Linked DNA regions of Schizosaccharomyces pombe. Changing the gene in region 1 together with any one later gene gives a genetic interaction. Each region holds a gene or a part of one and is shown on either strand. Other genes may lie near its edges.

The links. Genes that interact genetically often act in the same process or in processes that back each other up.
Region 2: of art1 (region 1) and rgf2, extra expression of one rescues a mutant of the other (dosage rescue), as found in Schizosaccharomyces pombe (one study listed by BioGRID).
Region 3: of art1 (region 1) and wsc1, extra expression of one rescues a mutant of the other (dosage rescue), as found in Schizosaccharomyces pombe (one study listed by BioGRID).

What each region holds. Positions count from the first base shown.
Region 1 is NC_003423.3:2,363,298-2,367,456, reverse strand, and holds art1 (arrestin-related substrate adaptor for RhoGEF, Art1), read left to right. Parts: upstream 1-1,643; 5' UTR 1,644-1,726; coding exon 1,727-3,178; 3' UTR 3,179-3,642; downstream 3,643-4,159. Other genes in the region: SUMO deconjugating enzyme Ulp1, read right to left, coding at 1-340; PPR repeat-containing protein Ppr3, read left to right, coding at 4,117-4,159.
Region 2 is NC_003424.3:5,078,739-5,085,559, forward strand, and holds rgf2 (RhoGEF for Rho1 Rgf2), read left to right. Parts: upstream 1-1,979; 5' UTR 1,980-2,366; coding exon 2,367-4,869; exon of another isoform or gene 4,870-4,871; intron 4,872-4,924; coding exon 4,925-5,346; intron 5,347-5,390; coding exon 5,391-5,942; 3' UTR 5,943-6,317; downstream 6,318-6,821. Other genes in the region: Golgi alpha-1,6-mannosyltransferase Och1, read right to left, coding at 448-1,638. UniProt on the Schizosaccharomyces pombe protein: Stimulates the exchange of Rho1 and Rho5 GDP-bound form into GTP-bound form. Controls septum formation, cell wall synthesis and localization of F-actin patches.
Region 3 is NC_003423.3:1,297,172-1,303,294, forward strand, and holds wsc1 (transmembrane receptor Wsc1), read right to left. Parts: upstream 4,109-6,123; 5' UTR 3,445-4,108; coding exon 2,320-3,444; 3' UTR 505-2,319; downstream 1-504. Other genes in the region: SPOM_SPBC3D6.16 (uncharacterized protein), read left to right, coding at 1-89; SPOM_SPBC30B4.09 (uncharacterized protein), read right to left, coding at 1-62; sqs1 (G-patch and R3H domain-containing protein), read right to left, coding at 4,770-6,123.

The DNA of each region.
Region 1 (4,159 bases):
TTCTGTCAAGAGTATTGTGAGAAGACATATCAGATTCGACCGTCACGTAACCACGTTCAGTCTTGGAATTTATGTGAGAAAACCGAGATTCAGGGGCTTTAGTAGAAGGCTCTAGTTTTGAATTTGTACTATTACTATTAGATGGTATCGCCTCGCCAGCGATGCGATCCAATTCAGAAATGGGAGTTTTTGTCAAAAAAAGTTTTGCATAAGTAACTGTACGAGAACAAATATTAACAAACGTGTTCAAAAATGTCTTTTTACGTTTCCTTTGATACTCTTCATATGTAATACAATCATCCTGACGCGTCCTTTTTGACGCATTGCGTTTTCCTATCATTCACGAGTGAATTGTAAAGGGTGAATCGCGAGAGGCTGTGACACACAACAACCTGGAAGGATGAGCGCGTTCTTGCTTACGTTGTGAAAATACCTCGTTATACGAGTATTGCGGTATTTACTGTAAACAAACTACTTTTTGTGTTTATATTACAATGTTTGGCTTTCGAGCCGCTAGCTTTGCTTGTAAGATTTTAAATTATGTTGCTTAACATGTAAGTGTCCGTTTATCTTTAGGGCCTACTGTGTTTGATTTCATTACACTAAAATCCTACTTCAATGTGGGCTATCACTACTTTTAGCCGTGAGAAGCTTACAAGTATATTAATGTAAATTAAATATCATATTGCTTTTATAAAATATACATTCATGACAGTACACTGTGTTACTCTTTTAAGCGTTTAATAAGTAAGTGGTAGCGTATCGCTACTAGTAAATTGTTTTAAGTTCTGATATATGCCCTGAAAATGAAAAGATAAATCGGAAAATGTGAGTTAGTTTTATACAAACCATTTAACACTTCCTGAAGGGATCTTTGAATGAACAGAAAGCCCTATATTCAGGTTATCCTTCAAACAATCATTATTTCCTAGATAGAAAAGAGTCGTACATCAGCAATGAATTTCCTCAATTATCGCCGGGGTTTTTTATCATACTACGGCTCATATAACTATCAAAAATTAGCATTACCAGTTGCTCTTGATTCTTGTTTTTCTCGATTTTGAATTTTTTGTTATGCATTGTCTGTTAACTATGCGTGAAATATCTGTTCTTTTAGAGATTCGTTTGATTTTTAGTAAAATAGTATTTACTTGCTTTATTTCCCTTTCTTCTGCTGCTCAATAATCTGATATCTTGCTATATTGTTTTCGTTTGAATTCAGTCTCTCTTCTATATTTCGTATATGTATGTTGCGATCAATCGTGTGTTATGGTTTCAAAAATTCAAAAATTCAAAAAAAAAGCCTTCTGCTGTAAGAATAAACATATTTTAGGCTTTCGTAAGTGAATTTTAAGTTGAAAATACCAATTTCAAAATTAGGCTATTAAAGTCATTTTAGTTTTTACTATTGTAATCAAAATGGAACTTTTTTACAACAGATACTAGCTTTAGATGCTTGGCTATCAATTGTAGGCTTTTGATTTTAATTCTATGGAATGGAAACAAAAGTACATTTTTTGGCCTAAAATTAGATTTTTATATAATAAAATATTATTAATTTCATTGCTATAAAAAGTCACTTAGCAGTGTTTAAGCGAGTGCTTAAAAGATTTTATTTAGCTATCTAGATCTGACATTGCTGCACTGAACCAACCTGTCTACCATTTGGTAGATTCAACTTCCCATAACCAGCACCAAGCCAGAGGAACTCACTAAATGTAAGAGCATGACATCCCCGTGTACGCTAATACGGCAATTTTCTCCTTTGGAGATACGTCCGTTACCACATTTGGATTTCCAAGCTGGATTTAATGGGATACCAACTTCAGCTCCAAGGTTGGTTGGTATCGTCCAAGTTCGAAGTAAAGAAATTCACCAACCTTTGGCTTTGGTTCAAATAACGTTAGAATTATGGAAAATTGAATCAGTGGTAATACCATCCTTGGGTATAAGTAATCACTTATCAGATAATAAGTGTCTGGCAAGGCAGGTTTTGTTTCCACTTCATTCCGAGCATCCTGAAAATAACATACCTCCTAATGATAATAATTATTCTATCAGCGATTTGTCTATCAAATCACCTCCACCCTCCCTTACTAGCGATTGGATAGTAGATTCTTATGCGTCTGATCAGGATAATCCTTCTGTTCATACTCATAACCGTACTACTCCACCTATCCCTCCACCTCATCTTCCTAATGCCTCTGGATCTTCGGTATATCAACCTCCTTACACTCCGTTTAGATCAGTATCCACCACATCTTCCTCTAATGACACATCTATCACTCCTTTTGGTGACCAAACTCCTATACTCTCTTCTTCTTCAGATCCTTACGCTACTCATAGGGTATGGTCAATGGACCTTCCCTTTGAAATCCCGTTTCCCGAAAATTCAGAAATTCCATCGACTTTTGAATTGAATCGGTCTGGTACAATATGCTCCACGAAATATGAACTACGTGCTCACATGAGTTTACTAGGGGTACCGGATATTACTACCACTGTACCAGTGTCACTCAGCAGGTATGATAATCTATCTTCTTGGGGGATGTATAATTCCCCTACTAATATTCGGCAAGTGAGTAGCGATGGTCGTGTTGTAGTAGAGGTATCAATACCCAAACTGTGTATTGGACCTTCGGATCTCGTCTCCGTCTTCGTTTCCATCATGCCTAATAATGGTTCTAAAATACGAGTACAGCAACTTTCTCTTTCCTTGGTTGAATACATCACGTTCATACATCCCTCTTCTTCAAGCCCAATAGTTCGTAAAAAGAAAGTATTACGTTACGAAGAAGATTTGGATGATATGAAACTTACATCGGAAGGTTTATCGAAAAGCCTTTCTAAACCTTTCCCCGACATTGATTTTGAAGATGCAAATATCACTGGATTCACGACCACCTCTGATCTTTACTCTGTACAATACATGCTAGTCATCAAAGTACAATTATATCGTGCTAGAAACATTGAAATAACAAACCCAATTATTGTTTCCCCAGTGGAACGATCACGAAGTCAAGCCTTACTTAATGAAATTCAAACCCGAGTCCTTGACGTTCGCCAAAGCCACGGAGGCGTTGTCCTCGAAGAAAACGTTAGGATTGTGCGAGCTTCAGATTTTTCCAAAAATAATATGTTTGCTTATTTGAATGATGACATTGTCCTGTTATCTTAGGAAGTTACATTTTTCAAGCTCAATCTGTGCTTTACTACAAATGTAAATCCCGATATTGTTGATCATAAGCCTTACCTCTGTATTTCCCTGTGTTTTTCGATATTTGCAAGCCTTTGGTTTGCAATTAAATACCCACTTTGTTTATTTATTTGTCCCTCGTTTTTTTGTTTGGTTTCAAAAGCTATGAGTAAAAATAATGGTCTTCTTGTTTTTGTTTTGTTTTAAAAAGTATTCCTGTTCTTCGACATCAAATCAATTTCTATTGAATATGTCTTCATTGTTTTATTTATTCACTAGATTTAGCAAGTGGGACTTTTGGTCACTATTTGGTTGCTTTTTTGTACAACTGACTATTTATTTTAAATTGTGTCAACAGTTTAAATCTCACTTTATTCAGAGTAGGTTTTAGTTTAATAAAAACAGCTTTAAACCTGCTTATATAATGTACTACTTTCCTTTTTTATGTGGTTTGAATATCACATCGGCTGCACTTATGTCGGCGTTTCCACTTTCATGTATGTGGCTTTGAAAGTAAAGATGTAGTAAGCATTTAAATCTGAGTAAGGCTTAATATATATAACGATTGCATTTTGTTATCTAATAGCCCAGTATACGGTTACACTCTTAAATCAGTTACAATTTTATTAGATATTAAGCTCATTGTGAGTAAAATTTTTCCACACCTCTTCCTTAAGTTTGTATAATCCATTCTTATAGTAGTATAACCAGAAGTAAAAGTTTAAAATATTAGCAATTAAATTTCTTTTGAGGAATGAAAATACGAGATCATTATCAAAGCGTTTAATACCCACTTAACTTTCCATCCACAAAATATACGTTTCAATCCAGGTATTAATATCTATATATTATTGACTACTTTATCAGGAAAAAAGATCAAACATCTTTAATTTTTGAGATTTCAGAAGCTACTGTACCTTATGCTAAACAAATGTTCTGGCTCTTTAACACTTTTAGCTGTTA
Region 2 (6,821 bases), on another chromosome or scaffold:
CAAAAGTTTTATAAAATTATTGAAAGAAACAAACAGCTTTAGAATTCAAAACAGTTTACAAGGGAAAATATTATAGTGCTGAGCTATAAAACGCGTTGATGAAAGCGCTGAAAAAAAAAAAAAAAAGAAAGTTGATCATCAGGACATAAGCATTGGCTTCATATAATTCAATAATGTCACCAATATTGCCAACTTGATTGGCTAACGTACAAAATACATGCAAAATTAATCGTAAAGAGATGTAGAATTATGAGGGAAAGATTAAATCAACCACGAAAGAAACTTTTTTGTTTGCGCAAGCTATAATTTACAAAAATTGCTCGAACACAACCCGTAACAGTTTCCAAACCAGATCAAATGCGTGTATTTAGTATTATCGAATTGCCCGGTTCGAACACTTTAAGCACATTATACCAAGAAATGACCACCCACCCACATTTCAAACGATCAATCATCTTTCCATGAACCGGCAAAGAAATGTTGAACATACGCCATCGGATCATTTGGAGACTTGCTACCCATGTGACCGACACCAGGACTAAATGCAGTTATGGGTAGGATTAAAACATCTCCAACAAGATAAGGTTCTTCTAAATTGGTGATATTCTCAACCGAGAAAGGGCCATACTGCCAATTTAAATAATCCATAATGGCATCGGTCCAAATACCTGGACCAGTCCACTCCATTACTGACTCGCCATTTTTCGAAAGCTTCTTTGAATCATGCAGCTTCCAAGTTTCATCGGTAATTCTACGAACAAGTTCCCAAAGAATTGGATGGCCTGGTGCAGCAGCTATGGTCCACTGACAGAATTGTACACGCCTGGCATAGTAGTCGTTCCAATCAGGGCGGTCGGGATCTGCTTCAATGCCAACGATCAGTCGAATATTACGCTTACGATATTCACGAGGGATCCAATTGTTTATATGCTTCAATGGTGCCGTATCAATGTCGCTATAAATACCACCTTTTGCCAATAACACTAGATACCGAAAGAAATCGGCCTTCAGAACAGGCAGAGGCATCATTGCATACGCTTGTGAAATCTTGGAAACTGATGAATCGCCAAAGCTACTGATGACCAATGCTTTAGACTGCTCATCGTCTAAAACAGCATGAGAATAACTGGGATGGTTGATTCTCCAAAACCGAGTGTACTTCATAACCTCTCTATCAAAAGGGTCCTTGGAAGTTTGCCATATTAACTTGGGAATGTCAGCGTGATAAGGCACCTCAAATTCATAAGTATCTTTAGGAACGATCATGTGTACAGCTTCATTTTCTTCGTCAAAATCTTGAAGCTGTGAAAAGGAGTACCGTAGATGAAGTTTATAATTATTTTCTTCATCAAGTTCTTCCAAGCTGTGTTCCAGCTCTTCCCTCTCCAAATCGCTCAAGTAAGCTTCCAAATCTGGATCTTCTTCTTCTTCAATGTAAGACGGTTGATCATACAAAAGTTCCTCCTCCTCCTGTTGACCAACATAATCTTTATTAGCGGCTTCCGGAGTGTAATCCTCCAACATCGAAATCTCTGTCAAATCTTCCATTCCTTCTATGCTACCATGATTGAATAACAACAGTATGGATCCCGCTATCGCAGCTCCTATTACAATACTTCTCAATCGGAGTCTCAACATGCTGAACTCGTTATATGCTAATGCTCAATGTATCAATTAATTACTTAGTTCGTTAACAAAGACTCATTAATGTGTACTTAATGCAGCTAGGATACAGATTTTGCGGTTTTTCATAGAATCGCAGCAAAACACAGGTGGGCGCTCTGGCTGAGTTTGCGCAGATGCTCTTACTTTAACTTCGCACAAGCGACCCGAAAATCGAAGGGCTTTAATGTGATATTACTCTATAATAGCAACAGCCACACTTGATTGCGGTACCGTGCGTAATATCAGTCCAAGTATTGTCGGCTGTAGTTAACGGTGTGTGTTAGGTGTATGTACACAATAACAGAAAAAGGTTACCCAAAGCACCACCCATAATATAGAAGTGTAAGCAGCGATCCACTTCAAATCCGTTCTTTTGAGTATCCAAGCTGTTTGAATAATTGGAAAGCCGGAGAATTGGCATTAATATACGTACTCCGGCTTCTCGTGTATAATAAGAGGAATTTGGTGAAGTTTCCATGTTCAAATAAGACGACTTGTCTTGTAGAACCTTTTATTGTTGAAAGTAATTGGAGCGTTAAAAAAAAAGGTACTACTTGAATTTGAAAAATATCTTTCTTCTCTTTCTGTTGTTGTGTCGGTACGGACGATTGGTATCAGAAAAGCCCCTTTGCATAGCGCCGTTTTTCTAAAACTTGCGATACCTCGAGAGGGTAGTAAAATTAGAATCAACAAACAAGAAAATGCTTCGCAATGGAGCTCAGAATGGAAATATAAACTCTGAGTCTCATGAATCGTTTGGTAAAGCAGCTAAAGGATTTCGTATTTTTTCATCATTTAGCAGTAGCCAAAAACTGTTCCAAAGAAGGAGTTCTGGCTCTATCACACATTCTCCTACCGCTTTATCATCTACCACATCCCTTAATGAAAATGATGGCAATCATTTTCGTCCTGCATCGAGCCTTAGCTTTTCTCCCTCTTCGCTATCCAGAAAAGATTCGGGTCCTGGAGATGGCTTAGAAGTTAATAAAAAAAATAATTTTTATCGCCGTTCTTCCTCCACAGATGATTTTGGCATTTCTCATGCACGTAGTAGGAAAGAAATACAATCGCTCGGTAGACCCCATACTCGCCAGTCGTTTTCCGTCTCTGATGTATCTAATGGCAGTTCTTATCCTAACATTCGAAAAAATAGCGTCCATGTTAATGCACCCATGCCATCTTTTCCTGAAGGATCAACTGCCGTCTTACTTAAGCATCACTCAGGCTCCAAGTCTGCATCTGCGATTTCGAACATCGCCCCTTCGCATTCCAATTCTACCTCATCTCGTCGCCCTTATATACATCCGGCTTTTCTTTCTCAAGTCGCCGTTGAGTTCCGAAAGCGTCTTAACATCGGTGACCGTGTGAAGGATGGTCTTCTTTATAAAGATGCCTTTCTTGGATCGGAAGCTGTCGATGTATTGATGCATATAGTTCGGACGACTGACAGGAATTTGGCGTTACTTTTAGGAAGAGCCCTGGATTCGCAAAAGATGTTTCATGACGTTACTTACTCTCATAGACTTCGCGACTCGCTCAAGGAAGTTTACCAGTACCGACGTATCATTTCTCCTCCTCCTGGTCTCTCCTCGATGGATTCCAATGGATCGTCGATCGAAAATAACTTTCTCTACACAAAAAGAAGAGCGAACACGTCTGATTCATTTGACTCTGTTTTATCTGATTCTTCTACGACACCTACCATCTCCTCGTCTGTACAGGTAAATTCTTTAGCTTTCATCACCTCATCCCTAAGCGCAATTACTAAGGAGCCTGAAGCTCCTGAAACCGAATACAATCCTCATGGAGTGTTTACTCTTTTAACGGAATGCTACTCCTCTACATGTTCTCGTAATCGCCTTTGCTATTCTATATCTTGCCCACGTCGACTAGAGCAGCAGGCCCGTCTCCATTTGAAGGTCCAACCTGTATTAAGTGGGGGATCAACTTCGATTACAGATAAACAAGAGGAAGATCATCGTTTATGGTCGGAAAATGTTCCTAAGCAAGTTGTAGACCAGATCGATGTCCGTGAATGGAAAAGACAGGAAATCATTTTTGAGGTTATTTACACAGAACGGGACTTCGTCAGAGACCTAGAGTATATACGTGACTTTTGGATTAAGCCTCTTTCAACCTCAAATGTAATACCAGAAAACAACCGACAACAATTTATACGTTGCGTTTTTCATAATATCATGCAAATCCATGCTGTCAATTCTCGTTTGTCAAATGCTCTAAACCGTACTCAAACTCTGCAACCTGTAGTTAACACAATTGGTGATCTTTTCTTAGATTATGTTCCTAAATTTGAGCCTTTTATAAAATATGGTGCCAATCAGGCTATTGCCAAGTTTGAATTTGAGCGTGAAAAAAGTACGAATAGGAATTTTGCGAATTATGTTCATGAAGTGGAAAGATTACGAGAGTCTAGAAAACTAGAACTTAATGGTTATTTGACCAAGCCTACGACTCGCCTTGCGAGGTATCCGCTACTATTAAGTGGAGTTCTTAAGTACACTGATAAAGATAATCCTGATACGGAAAACATTCCTCGTGTAATCGAAATGATTCGTGAATTTCTTACTAAGCTTAACTATGAAACAGGGAAGACTGAAAATAGACTCTCGTTGTTACAGTTAAACGAACAGCTTTCCTGCAGCCCTGCGGATCGAGCAAAATTAACATTGTTTGATCCATCTCGCTTATTGATTTTCAAAGGCGTCGTCAAGCTAAAAGCCAGTAGTTATTCGAATGGGGACACTGAAAACGACATTCACATGTTTTTACTGGACAATTTTCTCTTGTTGTGTAAGATAAAGATTCAAATGAAAAGAAGAGTTCATAAACTGCATCTCAGGCCATTACCTTTAGAATTGTTGTCGATTTCTTACATCGAAGACTCGCCATCGAGAGGTAGCCTTCCGCGTCGACCATCTTCTGCTTTGTTAACTAATCCAATTTCAATTACAAAAAGTAATCCACCTCCTGTTAAAGCATACGGTTTGCAGTTAGTATTTATTGGAGCCCGTGGTTTTTCTATAAGTCTTTATCTCAATACACTGATTGCTAGAGACCAATGGAAACAACACATTGAGAAACAGCAAGATATCATTCGAAAGCGTCATTTGGTATTTGAAAGTCGAGGCATATGTTGTCAGTCCTGGTTTACCGGCAACAAGTTATTATGTGCCGTTGCCTATGGTAAGTATAATAAACAATATGTTAAAGAAGTAAATGTTTGTTAACAGCTCTTTAGATGCGGGCCGTAAATTACTATTTGGAACTTACAAGGGACTATATATCTCTTCTCGAAAAAGTAATAATGGCAGTTGTCTTGAACCCATTTTCAAGCTGCAATTACCAAATATCTCTCAACTAGATGTAATTGAGGAACATAACGTTCTATTGCTTTTAGCCGAGAAGATTTTGTACGAGTTACCTCTGGACGCTCTTGATTCAGTAGAACAAATTAATTCAAAGTCTTTGCGACGTGTAACAGGTCATGTTAGTTTCGTCAAAACAGGTTTTTGTATGCAAAGAATTTTAGTCTGTGCGGTAAAGTCCACCGTTTTAAATACTACATTGAGGATTTATGAGGCTGATCGTGCCTTGAAGAACAAAAAGACCCAGTCTCTAAAAAAGCCTTTTGGCAATCAAGCAACTTTGAAAATATTTACTGTGAGTTACCTCGTCGTTCTTTCTCTATACTAACATTTTTTTAGGAGGTACAAATGCCGATGGAAGCTTTGTCCGTTCACTTTCTCAAGACAAAGCTTTGTGTGGGAAGTTTTAAGGGATTCGATATTATAAGTTTGGAAAATGCCGTATTCCAATCTTTGTTAAATCCTGCTGATACTTCATTTAGATTTTTAGAAAAGAGGGAAGATATTCGACCGATTGCCATGTTTCGCTTAAGAGGAGAATTTCTCCTCTGTTATTCAGATTTTGCATTCTTTGTTAATACGAATGGCTGGAAATCTAGGCAATCCTGGATGATTAATTGGGAGGGCCAACCTCAAGGTTGCGCTTTGTGTTATCCATATATCCTGGCATTTGAGCCGGACTTCATTGAAATTAGGAATGCCGAAACAGCCGAACTCGTTCAAATCATAATGGGACAAAACATTAAACTTTTAACTGATGGCCGAGGGTTAATTAGTGAAGGAGGTGAAATACTTTACAGCACTGAGCCAATTCCATTTTCATCTGGAGAAAATCCTATAGTTCATTCTTTAATACTTCCTCCAGCAAATGCAGCAGGTCCTGCACTTTAGATCGTTTATGACAGTACTGTCAACATTTGTGCGAACTTCTCCTTGAGCATTTTGGAATACTATTTACTACTCCGGACATCTTTTGCATGCCACATCAATTGATTATAATATATGCTATTACAATCTAAGCTTCAAGAATCTATGACCCTGCTTCATCTCTTTAAGGAATAACTTTAAAAATTCCTACGTACATATATTTACTATGGTTGAGATAATGCTATTGACGATTGTGTGTTTTATTAAACGAATTGTGTCTTTTTCAATTTGCTCAACATTGCACGCTGTTTTTGTTACGAATCATTCTTTTTCCATAGATTTATTATGCATTTCTTTAGTCAACTAATAAACAACCTCTCTGCATTCAGCATATTCATTCATTATCTTTTATTGTGATTGTTTAAAATACTCATGTGTAATCGATAACTTTTCATACTATTGAAGATAACATGAACAGTGTTACAATAATAAAAAATGCTTTTATATGCATTCCAAACTCCTTAACATTTTTTATGTTTTAGCATTCACCAAATATTACCACGTAAAATACACTTTTTCGCAACGAGTTGCTTATCTGTATTAAACAGCATTAACGCAGGCTTCGATAGAGTGTGCAGGAGTTTATCGCCACGTTCAGTAGGGTTTTTCTTGCTACATCATTTTTTAGAAGACATCTAAAATCTTAAAAGTAAAGTGTGTACATAAATGTTTTTATAATTTTTTTAAATAGATTTTTCAGTAAAAGTCTGTGTATTTAAAGTACTAAAATAATCAGGAATTATTACAATTTTTCAGGTGTGTGACTGTGTGTTAGAGAAAATATTTATTACAACCCTTCAACTTTTTTTCCACAACCCACTCACCTAGCTAAGCAAGATTGCT
Region 3 (6,123 bases), 1.1 Mb from region 1:
AAGTTTCCAGTGCTCATTTTAATCCTTCGACTCTGTTGTTTCTCCTGAAACGTCTGGGCCATCCTGTATACCTAAGAGAGGGAGAGTAAAAAAATATATATTAACAAACAGAAAACAGGGTTTTTAGTAATTGAACACGCAAGAAAACCAAGGATATGCTAGTCCTAATCGAATTGCTCGTTCGTTGATCAATATAAAAAGAAGGTTGATTCAACGGGGTCCACAATTAAGGTAGTTCTTAGCGAACAAGAAAATTAACCAAAAATTGGTCTTATGAATAATTAAAGGAATTGGATTTATGAAAAGCTACTACAAAGCTGTTCCGCAATGAGTTATAATGCTGCCTACTTAAGATCTAAGGATAAAGGCAGTAGGTAAGTGTACAGAGAAGTGGAAATCTCTCTCTTTTTATATATATGTGGGTGTAAATACGTGTGGGGGGAAGGCTGAACTACTACACGTCACACAATAGGGAAATTCGTCAATAAATGACGCAGCTGCGAATCCCTGTTTATTTACGCTTGCGAAAAGACGGAAAAAATTTTATTCAAATTCTAACAAGAATGTAGTAAACAATGATTAGGTGGTGCAACGATTTACACTAAACCACTTTCAAATCAAAGCGTTAAGTGATTGTGAACGTATAAATAAAAAATGGGATGGATTGAATTTGGATTATATGTTTAAATAATTAAGTGGAATTTAACTAAAAAGTACAACAACAATATCATGAGACGATCTAACTGTCAAGAAAAGAAAAGGAACATTTTTAATGATTCGGTAACAACCCAAATTCTTCTATAAAAAAACAGGACTTTTAACAGCAGCCTTTTCTTTTCGTTTTATCCTTGTTTTCTTAGCTTCGTCTTCAAGTTAAGGTCCTCAATGGGCCATTGATGAATAGTAAATCAAAAGAAAGGAGGGAATAAAGGGGGGAGCTGCATATAAACCACAGCGTATCACAACACAATGAATGAATGGTGAGATGGCACGCATTTGCATAATTGACACTGAGACTGACATTTGAAGTGCAAATTACGCTTGCATACGACTTTGGATACTTTATGCTTATAACTTGTTGGTTAATAGTCGTCCGTTAAACTTTTCTCTTTCTCTGTCAATTTTTTTCCTCTTGTTTCCTTATTTCCTGTTCCCTTCTCCCTAATGGTTTTGGAAGAGTAAAAGAAATAGGAAACTAGAAAAACCAAAGACGTACTTGACTTGTTGAAACTTATAAAGGAAAATAATAACCGCAAGTATCTCCCGTGCTAAGATCAAGTTGGTGTTACACAATATTATACAAAAAAGAACCATCATTTAATTTATCCATACATTGCATAAATGAACCTGACACACCAAGCACACGTGTATATAACAGGTAAGCAAACGGTATATATATACGATACATAGATATCCAATACATATACACCTGTCCACTAAATAGCATGAAAAAGGGACAACAAAAACAAAAAAAGAACAAGAGAAAGGATAAAAAAAGAAGATAAAGAAAGGAGAAGTAAATAAAAATAAAGTAAAAAGAAAAAAACCATAACGTGCACAAATTAGGTAGCGCCAAGATCTAAACAAATTAAGATGTAGACCAGGTGAAAAGTGGTTTTGTGAAGATCAAACACCAATCGACCAGGAAAATAAAGAAAAGAGAAAACTTAGCGTGTTCATCATATTGAGAAAGGGTAGACAAATGTACAAAAGATCGCTACTAGACAATAGCGTCAAAGACACAAAAACAACCAATTAGATAACAACAAAAAGAAGTAAGACAACGAGAAAAGAAAAGGAAAAAAATAAAGAAAGAAATAAAACCAGTTTTGCCAAAACAACTATTGCATAGGAGTTTAGCCTTTCCAAATTATCTTATTAAATTTAAAAAAAAAATCAAGGTTTAGCCGATAAATCAAGCCAACTTTGCTTTCTTTCCCAAGTCCCAATTTCATCAATTCATAATTGACGGTTATAGAAAATAAAGATAAAGCGAAAATGAATAAGAAAAAAATATGAAACTGATTTGTCACTAACACTGCAACGGTTTAACACATATTGAAAACAAATCCAGTTTCCCGAAAGAAAGATAAAGAGAAGAAGAAAAAGTAAAGAACGAATAAAATAAGGGAAAATAAATAAATAAGATTATGCCAACAGAGAACCGACCATAAAGAACTTTTTATCGTTACCAAAATGATCACTTTTCCGATCATATGCAAAAGATTTGTAGCATACGATTATGAAAGTCATAAACACCATAAAGAAGAAATAATTTTTTGGTTGAATTTAAATAAAGTAAAAAAGAAAAATGTTGTTTTAGTTCAAATTTGTGACACGCAATATCTTTCTCGAATAATCCTGACTGTCAGCCAAAGATTCACTTGATTTGCGATTCATCATGGCAGGATCCAAGCGAGAATCTAATTCACTAGCATAGGAGGGATATTTTCCTTCATTTGCCGAGTCGCTCATTCTAATTTTGAATCTCCTGAAATAGAAGTATAGGAAAATGCACAATGCCATTACCACGGCGAATGCCACACAACCGATAACAATACCCACAATAGCACCTGCATTCAAGGACGTATGGTTTGACGCCTTGCTTGCATTTAGAGCGAGGGCAGCCGTACTGCTTGGAACTTCACTACTGGTTGAAGAAGAGGAACTGCTTGGTGTTACTGTGACAGTAGAAATAAAAGTAGATGAGGACATGGTCGTGATAAACGACGAAGACGAAGATGGCCGACTAGAAGATGAAGAGGAAGATGAGCTTGAAGATGAAGAAGAATGAGAAGAACTGGTGGAAGACGTTATTGGTACGGAAGAGGAAGAACTAGAAGACGAAGAGCTGGAAGAAGACGAAGAAGACGAAGACGAAGAGGAAGAGGAAGAGGAAGAGGAAGATGAGGAAGAAGAAGAAGAAGAAGACGAAGAAGAAGAGGAAGACGACGAAGACGAAGAAGAAGAAGAAGAAGAAGGAGATGTTGTTGTTGTAGTTGAAGATGAGCTTGGAGATGATGATGAAGACGAAGAGGTCGTAGACGACACTGACGAGCTAGAAACCGTGGTTTGCAAAACCCCATTGCCAGTCAGATAAACCGACCAGTACAGATCACCACCACACATAAGAGAACCATAACCTGGACAAGGCGTTGTGCAAAGAGAACTTGAAACTTCTGTAGCAGTAAGTGTACTACCGCAATAACATTGATTATTACGGATAGCTACAAATGCTATATTATCAGATCCACCACAAATGTTGTTATAGCAATACGCTGGATCAAGATAGGTAAACGTGCCTTGTTCAGTTAAGCTACTATCCACGAGATAACAGCCATATTGAGTGTTCATGTCAGCCGCCACCAACCGAGTAGAAATTATCAAAAGGTAAACAAAAAATAGTAACCTCCCCTTAAAGGGAGAGGAATTTAAAAAGACCATGGAAATTAAATCGTGCGTAAGTATAATAGGAATGAAAATTAAAACTTAAATTTGGTAATAAAAATTTTGCCCTCAGTAAATTAAGTTGTTTTGTCTATAGACTAAAGAGAAAACAAATTATTGGACCAGTTAAGAGAAATATTATCAAAAGGCGCAAACCGAATGAAAGAAAAGAAAGATTGGGTAAATAAAATAAAGAGCGTAAAAATTCAAATGCCAATGAAGAAAATAATTGTTGCAAAATCACTTCTTTATCAACATGAAAAAGAAAACAATAAAGGATAAAGGCTCAGCAACGCAAAATCAAGAATTATTAAGACCGAGCAGTTGGTGAAAAGTACTCAATATCCAACTTCGTTTGTTCCGAAATTAAAAACAGAATTTAAAAAAAGAACGAATAAAAAGTAAAGAGTAAAGATTAATTCAGAATTAAAAAAGAACGCGAATTCCTGAAGTTCAACAAAATACTCGGGGACGAAAGTACAAACCCGTACCGAACTTGGCTATCCACAGAGCTTCCGTTTGAATCGTTTCTTCGAGCTTCCCAGGCTTGAAAACTCCTTTACTTTAAACAATACACTAGTTCCTTAATAAGGATACAGTGTTTGACAGATTGTCGTCAAAAAACACTTAAGAATTCGATTAGTTGTTAAGTGGAAAAGTTAGCTCCGACGGGCCCCATAAAGGCTGAAGTCAGTCGAACCTAGGCGAACACTATTGACCCTTACCGAAACGGTATTTTTGCCTTATACTATTTAACGAATGAAAAAGGCTCCGATTGATACTTGGTTGAAACTGCGAATAGTGCGATGTTGGGTATCACTATTGACCGATATTGCCTGTTAAAATGACCTAAACGTTACTTTACATAACTCCTTATACTGTATTACACGTGTTATATATTAAACGCTAACTGATTTTACGATTATCTTCTTTAAATAGCAATAATAACTCTGTACACTGCGATATCACCGTTTTGTAGAACTTCTTTAGCTGCAGTATGCCCATAGCAGCAACTTACATATTCAATTGCTCCTGTAGTGAGAATAATTATTCTGTCTATTTAAATGAAGTTTATATCTTAAAATAAAAGATAGTTATCTTTCTGGATTTCCGGTTTATCTCTTGAATGGAAAGACACCATGTCGAAGTACCCACGGTTAATTTTTTACTTCACATCAATATGTACAAATCGCTAATTTGAATATGATGCTTAACCTAGAATAGTATATATTTATATATATATATATATAAATTGGAGTATTATCTCAAGTAAATAAGACACAGCTGATTAGTTTCTCGGTTTGACCAGTCACCCTGGTTTTCTAACCTAAACCACTTCTGCTAACTTTAACAATAGCACGTAAACTATCTTTGGAACCTTCATTTTCGGGATGACCAAGTCCTTTACCTGCATACCATCCTAACTTTTCGAGCAACCGACGACCTGGATTTTCTTTGCTAATTTCAGGGGCATCTTCTCCAACAATTTGGCCATCATATACACGTGTGGCTTTACTCGACCTCACAGAGGAAACAGTCATTCGAGATTTCCTACCAGATTTGGAAAATGACTGATACTCAACCCTGGTCTGTAAACGCTCCATAATCCTGGTAAGTGAAACCAAATCCACACTAGATGCATCAAATTTATGAGTTTTGGAAAGCATAGTATACCGCTTGTTTCCAGATCCATAACTTCTCGACTTCAAGTTCAAATCGTTGGCAAGCGCATGAACCAATCGACGAACATATTTTCTGCATGGAGGAAGGGAAATTTCTTCAATGGCCGAGTGCTTAAACTGTTGCATCCGTTGATAAACATCATTTATAAATATCTTATCAATTCGTGTAAGACTAGCATTGTCAGAATCGGAAGAAGACGGCTTCTGGCTTTCGCGCAAAAGTTTCTTTTTGCTTTTCTTTCCAAGTAGCCCCTCAGAGCGGAGTTTCTCCCTTTCCGCTCGTCTTCTTGCCTTTTTGCTTTTATCTTTAAGCCATTGTTCTTGCAATTCAGCGTACAAGTTCATGCTCTCATCGTCCAAAGAATTGGAAAAGGCATCTCCCATTCTAGCGGCCACAGCCTTTCCTGCCTTTCTCTCTAATTTCTTTTGAGCTTTACGCATTTTTTTAGGAAGTTTGCGATCTTTTTTCAAACCTTTTTCTTCTTTTACCTTCGCCCCTTTTTTGCTTTGAGAAACTTTTTCCGTTTTTTGAGTTGAGGGGTTATTGTACTCTTCATCCTCACTGTCATAATCATAAATAGTAAAATCATTTTGCAAAGTATCTCCAATACTAAGGTATGCCTCAATCTCGGAATCATCACTAGCATCAAAAATTGCCAAAAGCTCTTCTTCATCTTCATCTTCATCTTCTTCCAAAATATCATCTTCATCTTCGGCTAATGAATCTGTATTTCCCACAAGTTCCGTCGTTAACTTAGCATAATCATAGTCATCTGATCCCTCATCAAATTCTAAAGATTCCGAATCTTCAAGTGAAAAATTTACTTTACCCTCTGTCTCATCGTAATTTGATATTTCAGGTTTTTCTTTCTCCTCTTCCTCCTCTTCTTTCTCTCCTTCTAGCTCTTCATCTTCGTCCTCATCATCATCATCTTCTTCTAAAACGGAGAGGTCGGCAAACTTGTTCATAGTAAACGTAGTCATTTTATCGGTG